2 linked regions of the Oryzias latipes genome follow. The protein of the gene in region 1 purifies or fractionates together with the protein of each later gene. This does not show direct contact. Links are inferred from orthologs where the notes say so. Each region holds a gene or a part of one and is shown in the gene's direction. Other genes may lie near its edges.

The links. The genes of interacting proteins can lie anywhere in the genome.
Region 2: the proteins of copz1 (region 1) and arcn1 fractionate together in Homo sapiens (co-fractionation; 5 studies listed by BioGRID and IntAct, with this or other methods). This does not show direct contact. The link is inferred for Oryzias latipes from reciprocal best matches to the Homo sapiens genes COPZ1 and ARCN1.

What each region holds. Positions count from the first base shown.
Region 1 is NC_019865.2:12,849,290-12,856,389, forward strand, and holds the start of copz1 (coatomer subunit zeta-1), read left to right. Parts: upstream 1-2,739; 5' UTR 2,740-2,819; coding exon 2,820-2,837; intron 2,838-3,283; coding exon 3,284-3,352; intron 3,353-4,038; coding exon 4,039-4,120; intron 4,121-4,213; coding exon 4,214-4,305; intron 4,306-4,715; coding exon 4,716-4,771; intron 4,772-4,875; coding exon 4,876-4,953; intron 4,954-5,069; coding exon 5,070-5,121; intron 5,122-5,214; coding exon 5,215-5,253; intron 5,254-6,572; coding exon 6,573-6,620; 3' UTR 6,621-7,100. UniProt on the Homo sapiens protein: The coatomer is a cytosolic protein complex that binds to dilysine motifs and reversibly associates with Golgi non-clathrin-coated vesicles, which further mediate biosynthetic protein transport from the ER, via the Golgi up to the trans Golgi network.
Region 2 is NC_019871.2:31,554,822-31,561,766, reverse strand, and holds the start of arcn1 (coatomer subunit delta), read left to right. Parts: upstream 1-2,461; 5' UTR 2,462-2,731; coding exon 2,732-2,734; intron 2,735-6,892; coding exon 6,893-6,945. UniProt on the Homo sapiens protein: Component of the coatomer, a cytosolic protein complex that binds to dilysine motifs and reversibly associates with Golgi non-clathrin-coated vesicles, which further mediate biosynthetic protein transport from the ER, via the Golgi up to the trans Golgi network.

The sequences.
Region 1 (7,100 bases):
GGATCCTGGAAGAAATAGAAAAAGAATAGATGCTGATGGTGTTGACTATAAACTAATTTAAACTACAACAAAAATAGAATTCTAATCTCGGCACAGTGTTCTATGGAGAGGTGGTAATATTTACTCTGATACATTTTTTGAGTACTTTAAAAAAATACACATCTTAAAATGATTTAACTGGATTGTGGGTTTTACTTTTACTTGAGTAAATGTCCATCCATCAGTCCACTTTATAAACTGGCTAAATTCATTTCAGGGTTTAAGAGCTGCTGTGTATATATATATATAAAAAAAAACAATGCCCCTCTCACCCTATGCGGGTGGTTTCTCCTCCAAGCTCGGGTCCTCTACCAGAGGCCTGGGAGCTTGAGGGTCCTGCGCAGTATCTTAGCTGTTCCTAGCTCTGCGCTTTTCTGGACTGAGAGGTCTGAGGTCTTTCCAGGTATCTGTTGTAGCCACTCCTCCAGCTTGGGGGTTACTGCCCCGAGTGCTCCAATTACCACAGGCACCACTGTCACCTTCACTTTCCAGGCTTTCTCCAATTCTTCCCTGAGTCCCTGGTATTTCTCTAGTTTCTCATGGTCTTTCTTCCTGATGTTCCCATCGCTTGGCACTGCCACATCCATCACAACGGCTTTCCTCTGTTCTTTATCCACCACTACAATGTCTGGTTGGTTTGCCATTATCATCCTGTCAGTCTGTATCTGGAAGTCCCACAGGATCTTTGTTCTCTCATTCTCTACCCCTTTCAGAGGTGTTTCCTATTTTGACTTTGGGGTTTCCAGGTTATATTTTGCACACGAGTTTCTGTATATTCTTCCAGCCACTTGATTGTGGCGCTCCATGTATGCTTTCCCTGCCAGCATCTTACACCCTGCAGTTATGTGCTGGGTTGTTTCAGGCTTCTCTTTGAACAGCCTACACCTTGGGTCTTGTCTGGTGTGGTAGATCGGAGCCTCTATGGCTCTGGTGCTCAGTGCTTGTTCCTGAGCTGCCAGGATGAGTGCTTCAGTGCTGTCCTGTAGGCCAGCCCTTTCTAGCCATTGGTAGGACTTCTTCATATCAGCCACTTCAGTTATGGTCTGGTGGTACATCCCATGCAGGGGCTTGTCCTCCCATGAGGATCTGTCCTCCAGCACTGTATCCTCTGCTCTCCATTGCCTGAGACATTCACTGAGCACACTGTCATTTGGGGCCTTGAGCTTGATGTACTCATGCATCTTGGATGTTTCATCCTGGATAGTGGCTTCTACGCTCACTAGTCCTCGGCCTCCTTCCTTGCGGTTAGCATACAGTCTCCGGGTGCTGGATTTGGGATGGAACCCTCCACGCATGGTGAGAAGCTTTCGTGTTTTCACACCCTTGGTCTGTATTATTATTCCTGCAGGGCATCTGATAACTGGCAGTGCGTAGTTGTTTGTTGCCCAGGTCTTGTTCTTGCCATTGAGCTGGCTTCTCAGGACTTGCCTTACTCGTTGGAGGTATTTAGCTGTTGCAGCTTTCCTTGTTGCCTGCACCAGGTTGCCATTTGCCTGCGGAATTCCAAGGTACTTGTAGCTGTCCTCAATGTCTGCCATTGTTCCTTCTGGGAGTGAGACCCCTATGTGTGGACTACCTTGCCTCTCTTTGTCACCATCCGGCTGCATTTTTTCAAGCCCGAATGACATCCCAATGTCAGTACTGTACATCCTGGTGGTGTAGATCAGGGAGTCAATGTCACACTCACTCTTAGTATATGGCTTTAAGTCATCCATGAGGAGGTGACTGATGTTGGCCCCATTTCTGAGTCAGTATCCATAGCCAGTCTTGTTGATTATTTGGCTGAGGGGTTCAGCCAAATAATCAACGTCTATCTCTATCTACTCTCTCGAAATGGACTAGATATATATGGACAAGCAGTAGTGGTGCATAGGGGTAAAGATAAACAACATTTATGAGAGAACAAACTATTTTATACTTTAAAATACAATAAAACTAGTATAATATCTTTGTAATGGCAAGGTACATTTTTAATATCAGTTATCATGATAGCCCGACCCAATAGGAAAATAACAGCATACACATAATGCATGCTTTTTTAAAAGAAATTCTAGACACTATTTGAGGTCTTGTGTTGCTAGAAAAAAAAATCAAGCAAGGTAAACTGTCCCCTTCATTTTTTTTTAACTTAAATGTTTCAAGATCTGAAAATTCCAGAATTAGCATATTAGGTATTATACCCCCCCCCATTCCATAAATCTAAAAGTCAATGTAAATAATGAATGAATGAATGAATGCTATTACTACTTTAGTACAGTGCTTTTAGGCTTTTTGTCTAGAGTTCAATTTACTTTTATAAATTGCCAACCAATGGCTTTCTAGTCTCATAAAAGTGTGTTAAAAAAGGAGAAGAAAAAAACGAAAGGCAACCCCCCCCCCCCCCCCAAAAAAAAAATAAGCTTTAGGAAATAGTTTGAAAGATTTTGACATCATTAGTTGCTCATCTTTTATTTGCCATTTGAAAGTGGCTATTTTCTTTGCTAATATAGATTTAAATTTAAGGTTTGCTGGATAATGGTAAACAAATCACTCGGATAACAAAACAAAAAACATTGTGGTTCAGATGTGATCGAACCTGTGCTATTAATTTTATGTACTTAAAATAACAAATCATAATTGATCAATTGCTGGCTTAAGGAAAATGCAAAGTCAATGTTGTAAATAATTTCTGTAAAGACCCCGAGTGGAATTGAACTTTGCGTTTGCGCGTGACGTAAAATTCCTCAACTCTACGTATTACGTAAGTTAGAGCTGTGCTAGCCTGCTGTTAGCTGGTGAAGATGGATTCTCCCATACTGGTACGACTGTGTTTAAGTTTCCTCTTCAAATATAGTGTCGTTTAAAAAAATGAAAGACTATTATCCACAGAGAACTATTTATTGAAAGGCGGGTAAGGGTGTGGTTTACTGTACAGCGTTATCCGGTCGTCTAACTACCGTAAGAGTTGGCTAACGAGCTAGCTAGACCCTGCAAAGTTAGCCTTATGTGCCACTTTCTTTTCTGATGATGTGGAAGTGTCCCGTCTTCCTGGTCACACTGGCTAAAAATGAAGCACTACTTCGAATATTGTTTTCCACTATTTTGTGATCGTTACAGTTAGTCCCATTTGTCACAATGTTTGTTCTGCCATTCTGTTAGACATTTTTCGTCGTTCGCGTCCCGATTCGATTGTAGCATATGTTAACTTAATGTTTATATAAATTGAATGAACATAAAACGTAGGTGATTCTTGTTGTCATTCCAGGAACCATCCTTGTATACAGTCAAAGCGGTTCTCATTCTGGATAATGACGGAGAAAGACTTTATGCCAAGGTGTGTGTTTATTTATTTATCTGTTAAATAAAAGATTATGTCATATAATACATGACATAAAAACAAAGATAGTTTGTGTTTGTAGGTCAGTTATCCAAATGCTAGATCAATGAAAAACAAGAGATGAAGTGTGGGTAGTTGGAAACATGATGCTGGAAACACTGAATAAACCTTAGACCACCTGAAGAGGCATCTTAATTAGTCAGAATTCACTCAAATGTCCTTTATTATGTGAGGTATTTATATTAAAAGTTGTTTTTCCTTGAAAAAATATGTTTCATTGTCAATTTTAATAAACCGTGTAATTGTCAATTAGTAACATTCAAAGTGCATTTCCTATAAAGTTGTCTTCAAATAATCAGGAAAACATATGCCTTCCTAAATACTAAATATATTTAAGCTGTACTATAAGTTGTTTAATGCATTTGCAAGTTCAAGTCAATCCAAATTGCTAAATTAGTAGCTTAGCTTAGTGGGGAAACGGCATTTTCTGATCAGGTTTTACCATTGCCCACGTCTTTTAATTATTTTACTTATATATGTAGAAATTTATTGATTACTATCTAGTCATTAATATGGTTTGATCGGATACAATAAATTGTGTATTTATTAAAAACCTACATTTTGTTTACTGATGTAGAGATAGTTTTTTTTCAGAATCTTTTGTAATGCGATTGTATTTTCAGTATTACGATGACACGTATCCAACGGTGAAGGAACAGAAAGCGTTTGAGAAAAACATATTCAACAAGACGCACAGGACGGACAGTACGTGATGTTTTACAATCAGTAAATAAAGACTTAGCATGATGCTGTTTAAACACAAAAAGTTTATTTTGTTTTTCTTTTCTGTCCACTCAGGTGAAATAGCTTTGCTGGAGGGCCTGACTGTTGTGTACAAGAGCAATATAGACCTCTTCTTTTATGTGATCGGGAGTTCACATGAAAATGAGGTAATTGTTTTAGTTGACATTAAAACATAAAATTGACATTTAATGATTTTTAAATATTATAATAATACAGCTTCATATTCAAATACGTTTTAAGAAACCAACCTAAGTGTGAATACATATTTCATTTACACTGGTAAATGTGTTTTCTACTGTGATCAATACTGCTGATTTTTTGTTATTTCAAGCTTTTGTTTTTAAAATATTATTTTGGGTAGATTTTAATATGACACATTTTTAGAACGTGGATTTCTGCCGTTTCTTAAGCTCGTCTACTTGGAACTAAACTAGTTCTCCAAATTCACAAGTTCAAACTTAGTTTATGTTTTTAATGTTTACTTTTCATACGTTGTCTTTGTTTCAGCTTTTTATCTTGAACGTTTTAAATATGTCTTTGTGTTTCATTTCAACAGCTGATGCTTATGGCTGTTTTAAATTGCCTCTTCGATTCCTTGAGTCAGATGTTGAGGTATGCATTTGTCTGCAAATATTTATAGCACCTTAAATGGTTTAAAAACGTTTCTAATATTCAAAGAGTTTCAGCTCTAAGTTTATTTCTTCATAACTTTTTAGGAAAAATGTTGAAAAGAGAGCCTTGCTGGAGAATATGGAAGGACTCTTCTTGGCTGTGGATGAGATCGTAGACGGAGGGTAAGAAATGAGAAGCATAAAGCGTCTTGAAATGTGTTCTTTAGGGGAAAAAAAAATCATACGTTACTGTGTCTTCATTTTGTTTCGTAATCGTTACTATGACTCCTCACTTTCAGAGTAATCTTGGAGAGTGACCCACAGCAGGTTGTGCATCGTGTAGCCCTCAGAGTAAGCTCCGCTCCGCTCCTCTTCTCTAAAATATCTCCATTTGATTGGACAGTAAATGTGCGAGCTGTAAATACAATGCATTTGTTCTTGCAGGGAGATGATGTACCTTTGACAGAGCAGACAGTCACCCAGGTGAGGACAACATCCCTACTTTACCCCTCACTCTGCTGTGGAGTTTAAAGATCTATTGAGTGTTTAAAGTCATTACTTTGAAGTTTGAATATACAAGGGTACTGTTATTGTCATTTTCTTTTTCTGTATGATTACTTGCCTCCAGGCTGACATATTTTGTATCGTCACATATGCATAAGTGTGCAAATGATCACTGATTATTCAGTGGTAAGGTGGTAGCTAGCCAATAATGGCTTCTGCCATTTAGTGTCTAGATGAGTCTGTGTGTGTGTGGGTGTGTGTGTGTGTGTGTGTGTGCGCGCATATGTATATACATATATGTGTGTGTGTGTGTGTGTGTCAGGGCTCCACTTGATTAATGTTGTCATTTAAAAGGTCTGGTACTAGCTTCTACCATTCCTCCTCTGGCTATGATTAATGTCTGTGTCCAGCCATCATACTTTATGGTTATGATTTGGCCTTCATTCAAGAAATTAAGATGATTAATTAGACCGTGCGTATTTCAAACACCCTTTTTTTCGGTTCAGTATTTAAGCAGCAATTTTCAACTTTCTTATGTTTTAAATCTTATCTTATTTCACTTTATATCTATTTATTTTGTTTTTGGCCTTGGGATCATATCATCTGATTTCCTTTAATCTGGTGACATCTTAATGTATTGATGCTATTTTTAGATGTTCATAAAAACATTCAAATGACAATTGTAATTCTAAATGTAGAAAATGGTGATGCATTTGACTTTAGACCAACTGTCAAATAGAAAATGCTGTAAATATCACCTAGTTCGGAGTTTTCTGCTTCTCTTTTCTACGACATCAGTTATTTGCATTTTCTTTGAATTGAGGATATTGAAAAAAGAGAATTCTTCTAAAAGTGATTGAGGTGCAGCAGAGGCCATATTATTATCTTTACTCTGCTCCTTTACCTGCTCTCTGACCCATAATGGGAGGTTCAAATTGAAGGATTGTACTTTGTAGGTAAAGATTAACTTTTTGATGGCATAATTTAACCTCATCCGAAAAAGTTTTTGCCCTAATGAATATCACTTGTTTTTAATTTTTTACAATTTATTTAATGTCCACAGTGTGGACAACTCTGAACTGTTTGTTCGGGTTTGTACTGGAAATAATATCGTATGTCAGTGTAAAGCTGTGCAAACGACAATAAATGAAATGAAATGATTTTTGATAATTGAATGATTCTCATTAAGCAAACTGAAACTGTTGCCTTTTTATATTGTTATTTTTTTTACGTTCAGAATTTGATCTCGTATTCTTTTTCTAAAGAAGGTTACAATAAAAAGTCCTTTTCTTTCACAGGTACTGCAGTCTGCCAAAGAACAGATCAAATGGTCGCTCCTTCGATAGTCCTGTCCAGCAGTGAGCCGCTGTTCAGCACAGACCACACGGCACTGATCATCATACTCCCTTTTTTTTAAAACTTCCTCTTATCTTTATGAAGTTGTGAGGAGTATCGCTGGCTGATCATTCTGGACTTCGGTTTGAAAATGTAATTTCTGTGATTTTTTTATGTTCTGCCTTTCTCAGTATAATCAAAGTGAAATGTATGCATTCCAGTATGGACAGGCTGGTGTTGGTTTACTGTATCATTTATGAAACCTTTAATTGAAGCAGAATTTCCACCCGTGGAAGTGAAATACTGAAGAACATCATTGTCCAGCTTGTGACCACATTCCTTGTGTCCCATGTTCTCAGATCTGTTTGAAACGGTATTGTTTTGTTTCTTTCTGATTAGTGTGCAAAGAATAGAGTCCTTTTAAGTTCAAATGGATGTTAAAGAAAACGTCTTCAACCACTATCACTGTCATTCTGTGATCTACACAAATA
Region 2 (6,945 bases), on another chromosome or scaffold:
AGGAGAGAGTGTAGCCAGACAGCACCGCATGGTGGTGTGTAAGATGACTCTGGAGGTCAGGAAGAAGAAGAGAGGGAAAACAGAAAAGAAGACCAAGTGGTGGAAGCTACAGAATGAAGAAACTTGTGAGGAATTTAGGCAGAAGTTGAGGCAGGTCCTGGGTGGTCAGGATGAACTTCCAGATGACTGGGAAACTACAGCAGAGATTATCAGGGAAACAGGTAGGAAGGTGCTAGGTGTGTCATCTGGAAAGAGGAAAGACGGTAAAGAGACTTGGTGGTGGAATGAGGAAGTACAGGAATGCGTCCAGAGGAAGAGGTTGGCTAAAAGGAAGTGGGATGTAGAAAGGACTGAGGAAGGTAGACAGGAGTACAAGGAAGCGCAGCGTAGAGTGAAGAGAGAGGTGGCAAAGGCCAAACAGAAAGCTTACGATGAGCTATATGACAGGTTAGACACAAAGGAAGGAGAGAAGGACTTGTACAGGCTAGCCAGACAGAGAGACAGAGATGGGAAGGACGTGCAACAGATAAGGGTGATTAAGGACAGAGATGGAAAGGTGCTAACAACCCAAGAGAGTGTACAGAAAAGATGGAAGGAGTATTTTGAGGAGCTGATGAACGAGGAAAATGACAGGGAAAGAAGGGAGGAAGATGTGGTTGTTGTGGAGCAGGAAGTAGCAGAGATTGGAAAGGATGAGGTTAGGAAGGCTCTGAAAAGGATGAAGAGCGGAAAGGCCGTTGGTCCTGATGACGTACCTGTGGAGGTATGGAAGTGCCTAGGAGAGACAGCAGTGGAATTTCTAACGAGGTTGTTCAATAGGATTTTAGAGAGTGAGAAGATGCCTGAGGAATGGAGGAGAAGCGTTCTGGTTCCGATCTTTAAAAACAAGGGTGACATGCAGAACTGCAGCAACTATAGAGGAATAAAGTTGATGAGCCACACAATGAAGCTGTGGGAAAGAGTAGTGGAAGCCAGGCTTAGGAAGAAGGTGGAGATTTGTGAGCAGCAGTATGGTTTCATGCCCCGTAAGAGCACCACTGATGCCATTTTTGCTTTGAGAATGTTGATGGAAAAGTACAGAGAAGGTCAGAAGGAGCTGCATTGTGTGTTCGTAGATTTAGAGAAGGCGTATGACAGGGTGCCGAGGGAGGAGCTGTGGTACTGTATGAGGTCGTCTGGAGTGGCAGAGAAGTATGTCAGAGTAGTTCAGGACATGTATGAGAGAAGTATGACGGTGGTGAGATGTGCTGTAGGTCAGACAGAGGAGTTCAAGGTGGAGGTGGGACTACACCAAGGATCAGCTTTGAGTCCTTTTTTGTTTGCTATGCTGATGGACAGGCTGACAGACGAGGTAAGACAGGAATCTCCCTGGACAATGATGTTTGCGGATGACATTGTAATTTGCAGTGAGAGTAGAGAGCAGGTGGAGGAACAGCTAGAGAGGTGGAGGTTTGCTCTGGAAAGAAGAGGTATGAAGGTCAGTCGTAGTAAGACAGAATACATGTGTCTGAACGAGAGGGATCAAGGTAGAAGCGTTAGGTTACAGGGGACTGAGGTGAAGAAGGTGCAGGAGTTTAAGTACTTGGGGTCAACAGTTCAGTGTGATGGGGATTGTGGAAAAGAGGTGAAGAGGCGAGTGCAGGCAGGTTGGAGCGGTTGGAGGAAAGTGTCAGGAGTGTTGTGTGACAGAAGAGTGCCAGCAAGACTCAAAGGAAAGGTGTACAAGACAGTGGTGAGACCAGCTCTGCTCTATGGGTTAGAGACGGTAGCAGTGAGACAGAGACAAGAGGCTGAGATGGAGGTAGCAGAGATGAAGATGTTGAGGTTCTCCTTAGGAGTGACCAGGTTAGACAGGATAAGGAACGAGTACATCAGAGGGACGGCTCATGTTGCCTGTGTTAGCGACAAAGTCAGAGAAGCCAGACTGAGATGGTTTGGACATGTTCAGAGGAGGGATAGTGGATATATTGGTAGAAGGATGTTGGAGATGGAGCTGCCTGGCCGGAGGGCAAGAGGACGGCCAAAGAGGAGATATATGGATGTCTTAACAGAGGACATGAAGTTGGCTAACGTTAGGGTAGAAGATGTTCATGATAGAGTGAGGTGGAAAAGGATGATTCGCTGTGGCGACCCCTGATGGGAAAAGCCGAAAGAGAAAGAAGAATAGTAACAAAAAGAGCCAATGATTGAACCAAATCACCTCTTTTGTAATGAGAAAATATTATTATTGTGGTCTACTTCTGCAGGTATCATAAAGAAAGTACCTTAATGATGAAACGGGGCTCATGTTACACATTTCAATTCTGAAAATTGTCATGTGTATGTAATTTGTAAAGTAGAACAGTTTGGATGTAAATTCACAGCACTGGTCGGAGGTTCCTGATGGGGCTCGTGCCGTTGTTCCCTCTCACTTCTTAGTGAGTAGTGGGTGCGACGCAAAACGCTCGCGGCACGCGTCTAAAACCGGATCAATCTATGGAGAAACTGGGCGCTCGAGCGTTTCCACTCGACAGCTCCAGGTTTTGGTGTCCGCGTGACACGTCACTGTTTTCCACGCAAGCTGATCAGGGCCGCGCGCTCCTTCCGGTGGAGACGTGGCTCTGCGGCGGCCATATTGACGCTAGCAGTCCGTGGAAGCCGCGCGCGTTGTCAGAGACTACAGTCCCTGGACCAAACTCAGAACCGGAACCACGAGAAACGGACTCCAGCGGAATCCCGAAGACAGACCACAATGGTAGGTGTCTGTCCAGAACCGGACCCCCCCTGCTCCAGTACGCGTCGGGCCTGCAACTAGCATAACATTGGCTAGCAGCTAGCTGCTGCGCTTCGGAACGGAACTAAAGTCAGGAGACGCAACTGTCCTCTGGTTTGGTTAAGTTTGGGTCCAGCACAGACTAATAGTGCAGTTGGACACGTTGTCCATTTAATTAGCTAGTACAGATAGCGAGGCTAGTGTTGTCAAGCCGGACTGGACCGACCGAACTTGGTTGATGACGGGTCGTGTTCGGCCCGGGAGTAATTCTGTTCTGTGTTGGCTGTGAATGTCATTAAAGTTCTGTTAGTGTGACCCTAGCTGCTGTTTGTCAGTACCAGAGTTCGTATAAGATTTTAGAAGAACAAGAACAGTTCGGTCCTGCTCTGTGTGGCAGCTGCCAAAGACACACAACAGTGTCATGATTTGGCACACCGTCCATGTTCGAGGTTCCGAAGGGTCCAGTGGGGAACTAATGGCTCCTGTCATCAGGTCAGAGTTCTGAGGTTTGAAGATCTGGAGTTTTCTGTGATTCACCCAAAATATGCCCCAATTCATCTGGGAAGCATTCCAGACGCTAAGGTTTGTGGGTAAATGAATCGCATGAACTGGAGTGCACTCTGGGTACGTTCATTTATTTATTTGAGGTAAAACGTCAATATTTTTTTCATAAACGTCAATAATACCGCATAAACAATTTAAGTTGAATTTATTTGTAAATATAAACGACTCAGAACACAGCAGTAAACAAGACTAAATACTTCATAATGAGCATGAGAAAAACAACATGCACTCTGTCTATCAGAAGTGTACAGCTCGGTTTCACCTAGAGGTTCTGTCAACTGGCACCTGGTGATCACCTTGTGGTCGCCGTGGTGACCATTAGGCCTGTTAACTTGTTTCCCCGAATGTCCCTTGTCTGCCTAAGCTGAAGTGAAAATATGACAGACTAAAAATGAGGATGTTGCCAAACTAAATGTCTCTCCGATGGAAGGGAGTCATTCACAAATGAATGAAACTACATGTTCATTCATTCCAACCCCATTATTTTCAAAGACCCACTCCAATGGAAATTGTATTTGTGGTGTCATTAACTTGTTCTTGTAGCACTTATAATGAAGGACATGTATCAAGAAAACTAAGCTGAAAATTTCATTTCTGAGTAATTCTTTATTCAAATCGTTGTGAATCAGAATGGGGGGGGGGGGGGGGGTGTGATGATGTGTTACATACAAACTACAATCATTAGGCCACAGGCTCCCTGCTCCAGTCCAGTCTGATGCATCCACCTGGGATCTGGATCCAAACTGAAGGGCTGGATGCCGTCGAATTAAAAACATTTTCTTTTTTTCTCTACCAAACAAATGCAACCACAAGAAGGCACAGTCCAGTGCTTTCATGTGCCTGTCAAAGGTGTGTCAGGAAGGGCATCTGGCATAAAACCAAAGCAAAATCAAATATGAGAATCTCAATCAAATTTTCCTTTTGTGTGGTTTAATTAACTCTTTAACACTGGAGCTTTAGCTTTAGTGTTGACATTCTTTCGACTACGGTAACTCTTCAACAGTTGATGCAATTAACGTAATTCCAGTGGATTCTGCAGCGGAGAAAAGCATCTTTATCTTGACATCCAACACTTACAGTAGTGATATGCTTGCCCAATCAACAAGTCACCCAATCAACACTTCTGTCATGCAGTAAAGCAGCTTTGCACCCAGATTGATGCAAAGCTGGTCTTCTCTGCTTCAGAATCAGCTGATTAACTGATCGCCAAACATCAAAGATTTACCATCAAAAAGAGAGAATTGTTTAGACGTCACTGGAGACATCTCTGGTGTTAATGACTTGTTACTGGTACTGTTGACCTAAAGCGGGGGTGTCAAACTCATTTTCACCGAGGGCCTCATCAGTATAGAGGCTGTCCTCAAAGGGCCAGATAAAACTTATACATGTAACTAAAAATAAACGTAACTGCTCCTTGATGTTAAATAACTCATTTATTTATTTGTTTTAACTTTTTGAAGTGACCATTACAGTTGCATAGAAAACATGTTTGCTTGTTACTCTAGCATAAATCCTTTGAAATGTTGTCCTCTTATTAAAACCCACGATCAAACTGTCCACGTGAATAAATAACATCAAACTGAGCTAGAAAGAACACGTATGACACGTGTAACATTTTACAATAAAAGGCTGCACACAGCCGTGCATCCAACTGATGGTTTGATGACAACAATTTGTCTGCATACACACATAAGACCTGCAAACATTGAATAATGACAACTGCAGCTACACATTAATAATATGTAATCAACTAAAAAAAATATTATAAGAGATTAAAAACGTTTATGCTGTGGCAGGCCACATAAAATATGGCGGGCCACATTTGGCCCCCGGGCCTTGAGTTTGACACATGTGACCTAGAGGGTTCATGTGCACTAATGCTGGTCAAAGGAGGAGAGGAAGGAGGTGTGGCAAAACTGGTACCTTGCTTTTTCTCTCTTTGGCAAAAAGAGCAAATGAAGTGTGGCAGTTTAGGAGAAGAACCTTTGATTATAGAGACTTTAACAGGGAAAATACAGTTGGCCAATACGTTAGAAAAAACATGGATGTACTGTGTGTTTGACAGACCAGATGAAAATGCAGGACGTTTTATTAACTGGGAGCAGAGTTGAAGCTTATTTCTAATGGTGTGTGCAGAAAGCAGAACAAAGAAGGTATGATCCACAACCCGCCGACGACATCTATACATCTATAACGACTCGACTTTTCATGGGATAAATGGGAATCAGCTGATACCAAAGCAGAGGAAAGCGTCTTTTCATATCTGCTTTGTACTGGCGGCTGAATGAGACCACTTTGTCTGTGACAGAATCCACTGATTGTGTAAATACTTCACTACTGTAAAGTGTCCAAAGAAAGTCAGTCAATTTATTTATATGCACAATATACCCATCCTTCTTTGCAAAAGTTTGGATGTTGTCTGTTTTCGTGGGAAAAACGCAGACACACTGCAGAGGCCGGCTCTAGGTTGATATCATGAAATGGGCGGCACCCAAAAGGAGAGAAAGGCGGAGCCTCAGAGATCGAGCCGTCTTACTTCATGGTTGGAAAATGAGCTGCAAAAATAACTAATATTTCTTTAAAAAAATAGCTCTTTTGTGTGGCAAATGTAATATGATATCATATGCATGGACATAGTTTACTATAAAAGGATTAAGAATAGCATCATATGGGCCTTTAAGTACTTTTACAAGAAATCACAAAAATTTGTCGATTCCTAATTATTTAAAATTCACAGAATGATTCCAAATCATTTATGGGTCCTAATTGATGCATCTATTAATCTAATAATCTAGTGTCAGATGTGACTTGTGTTGAGTCTGTAAAAATGAAAGGTGAGAGCAACCATGTTGTTGTTTTAGAGACCATTGCTCTGACGCAGAGCTGGAGGTGAAGGTAGAGATGTTGAAGTTCCCTTTGGGAATGACCACGATGGATCAGGAGTGAATCCATCAGAGGAAACGGCTGATGTGGGATGTTTTGGAGATGAATTTAAGGAAGCAGATTGAGACGTTGACAAGGGTGACAGTTGTTGTGTTGGTAGGAAAACTGAGGTTTGAGCAACTAGGACGGAGGCCTTTAGGAAGACAAAGAAGGAGGTTTTTGGAAGTAGAGGAAGAGGACGACGTGATGAAGATGGTTGGTGTGAGCAGAGGATAGGATGGAGGTGGATGATGCACTGTGACAACCACTAAAGGAAGCAGCCAAAATGAAGAAGAAAAAAATCATGCTAGTTCCTGTCTTTGTTGGTGACTGAGTCCTCCCTTTTAAACAATTGGGGAGGACCATCTGTGGATATTAAGTGAAGCTAAAGTGGGAAGCAGAAGGACTGCGACTTCAAGACTCAGGAGATTTGATCAAGCAAGTTGGGTAGAGAAGATTCTAAGGGTAGGTACAGATGGGAGTGGTCATACACAAACAGGTTCGTGTTCTTAAAAAAGCCTGACATGCCTCTGTGTCTGCACTCAAAGTATTGATGTCGACATTTAAAGCAGATGAAGGTGAAAGAGTCTGCCTCACTCAAGAACTTTCTAATGTTAGACAGTAAACCCTGATGATCCCTACTTTCCTGCACAGGTGCTGTTGGCAGCGGCGGTGTGCACCAAGGCTGGAAAGGCCATCGTATCGCG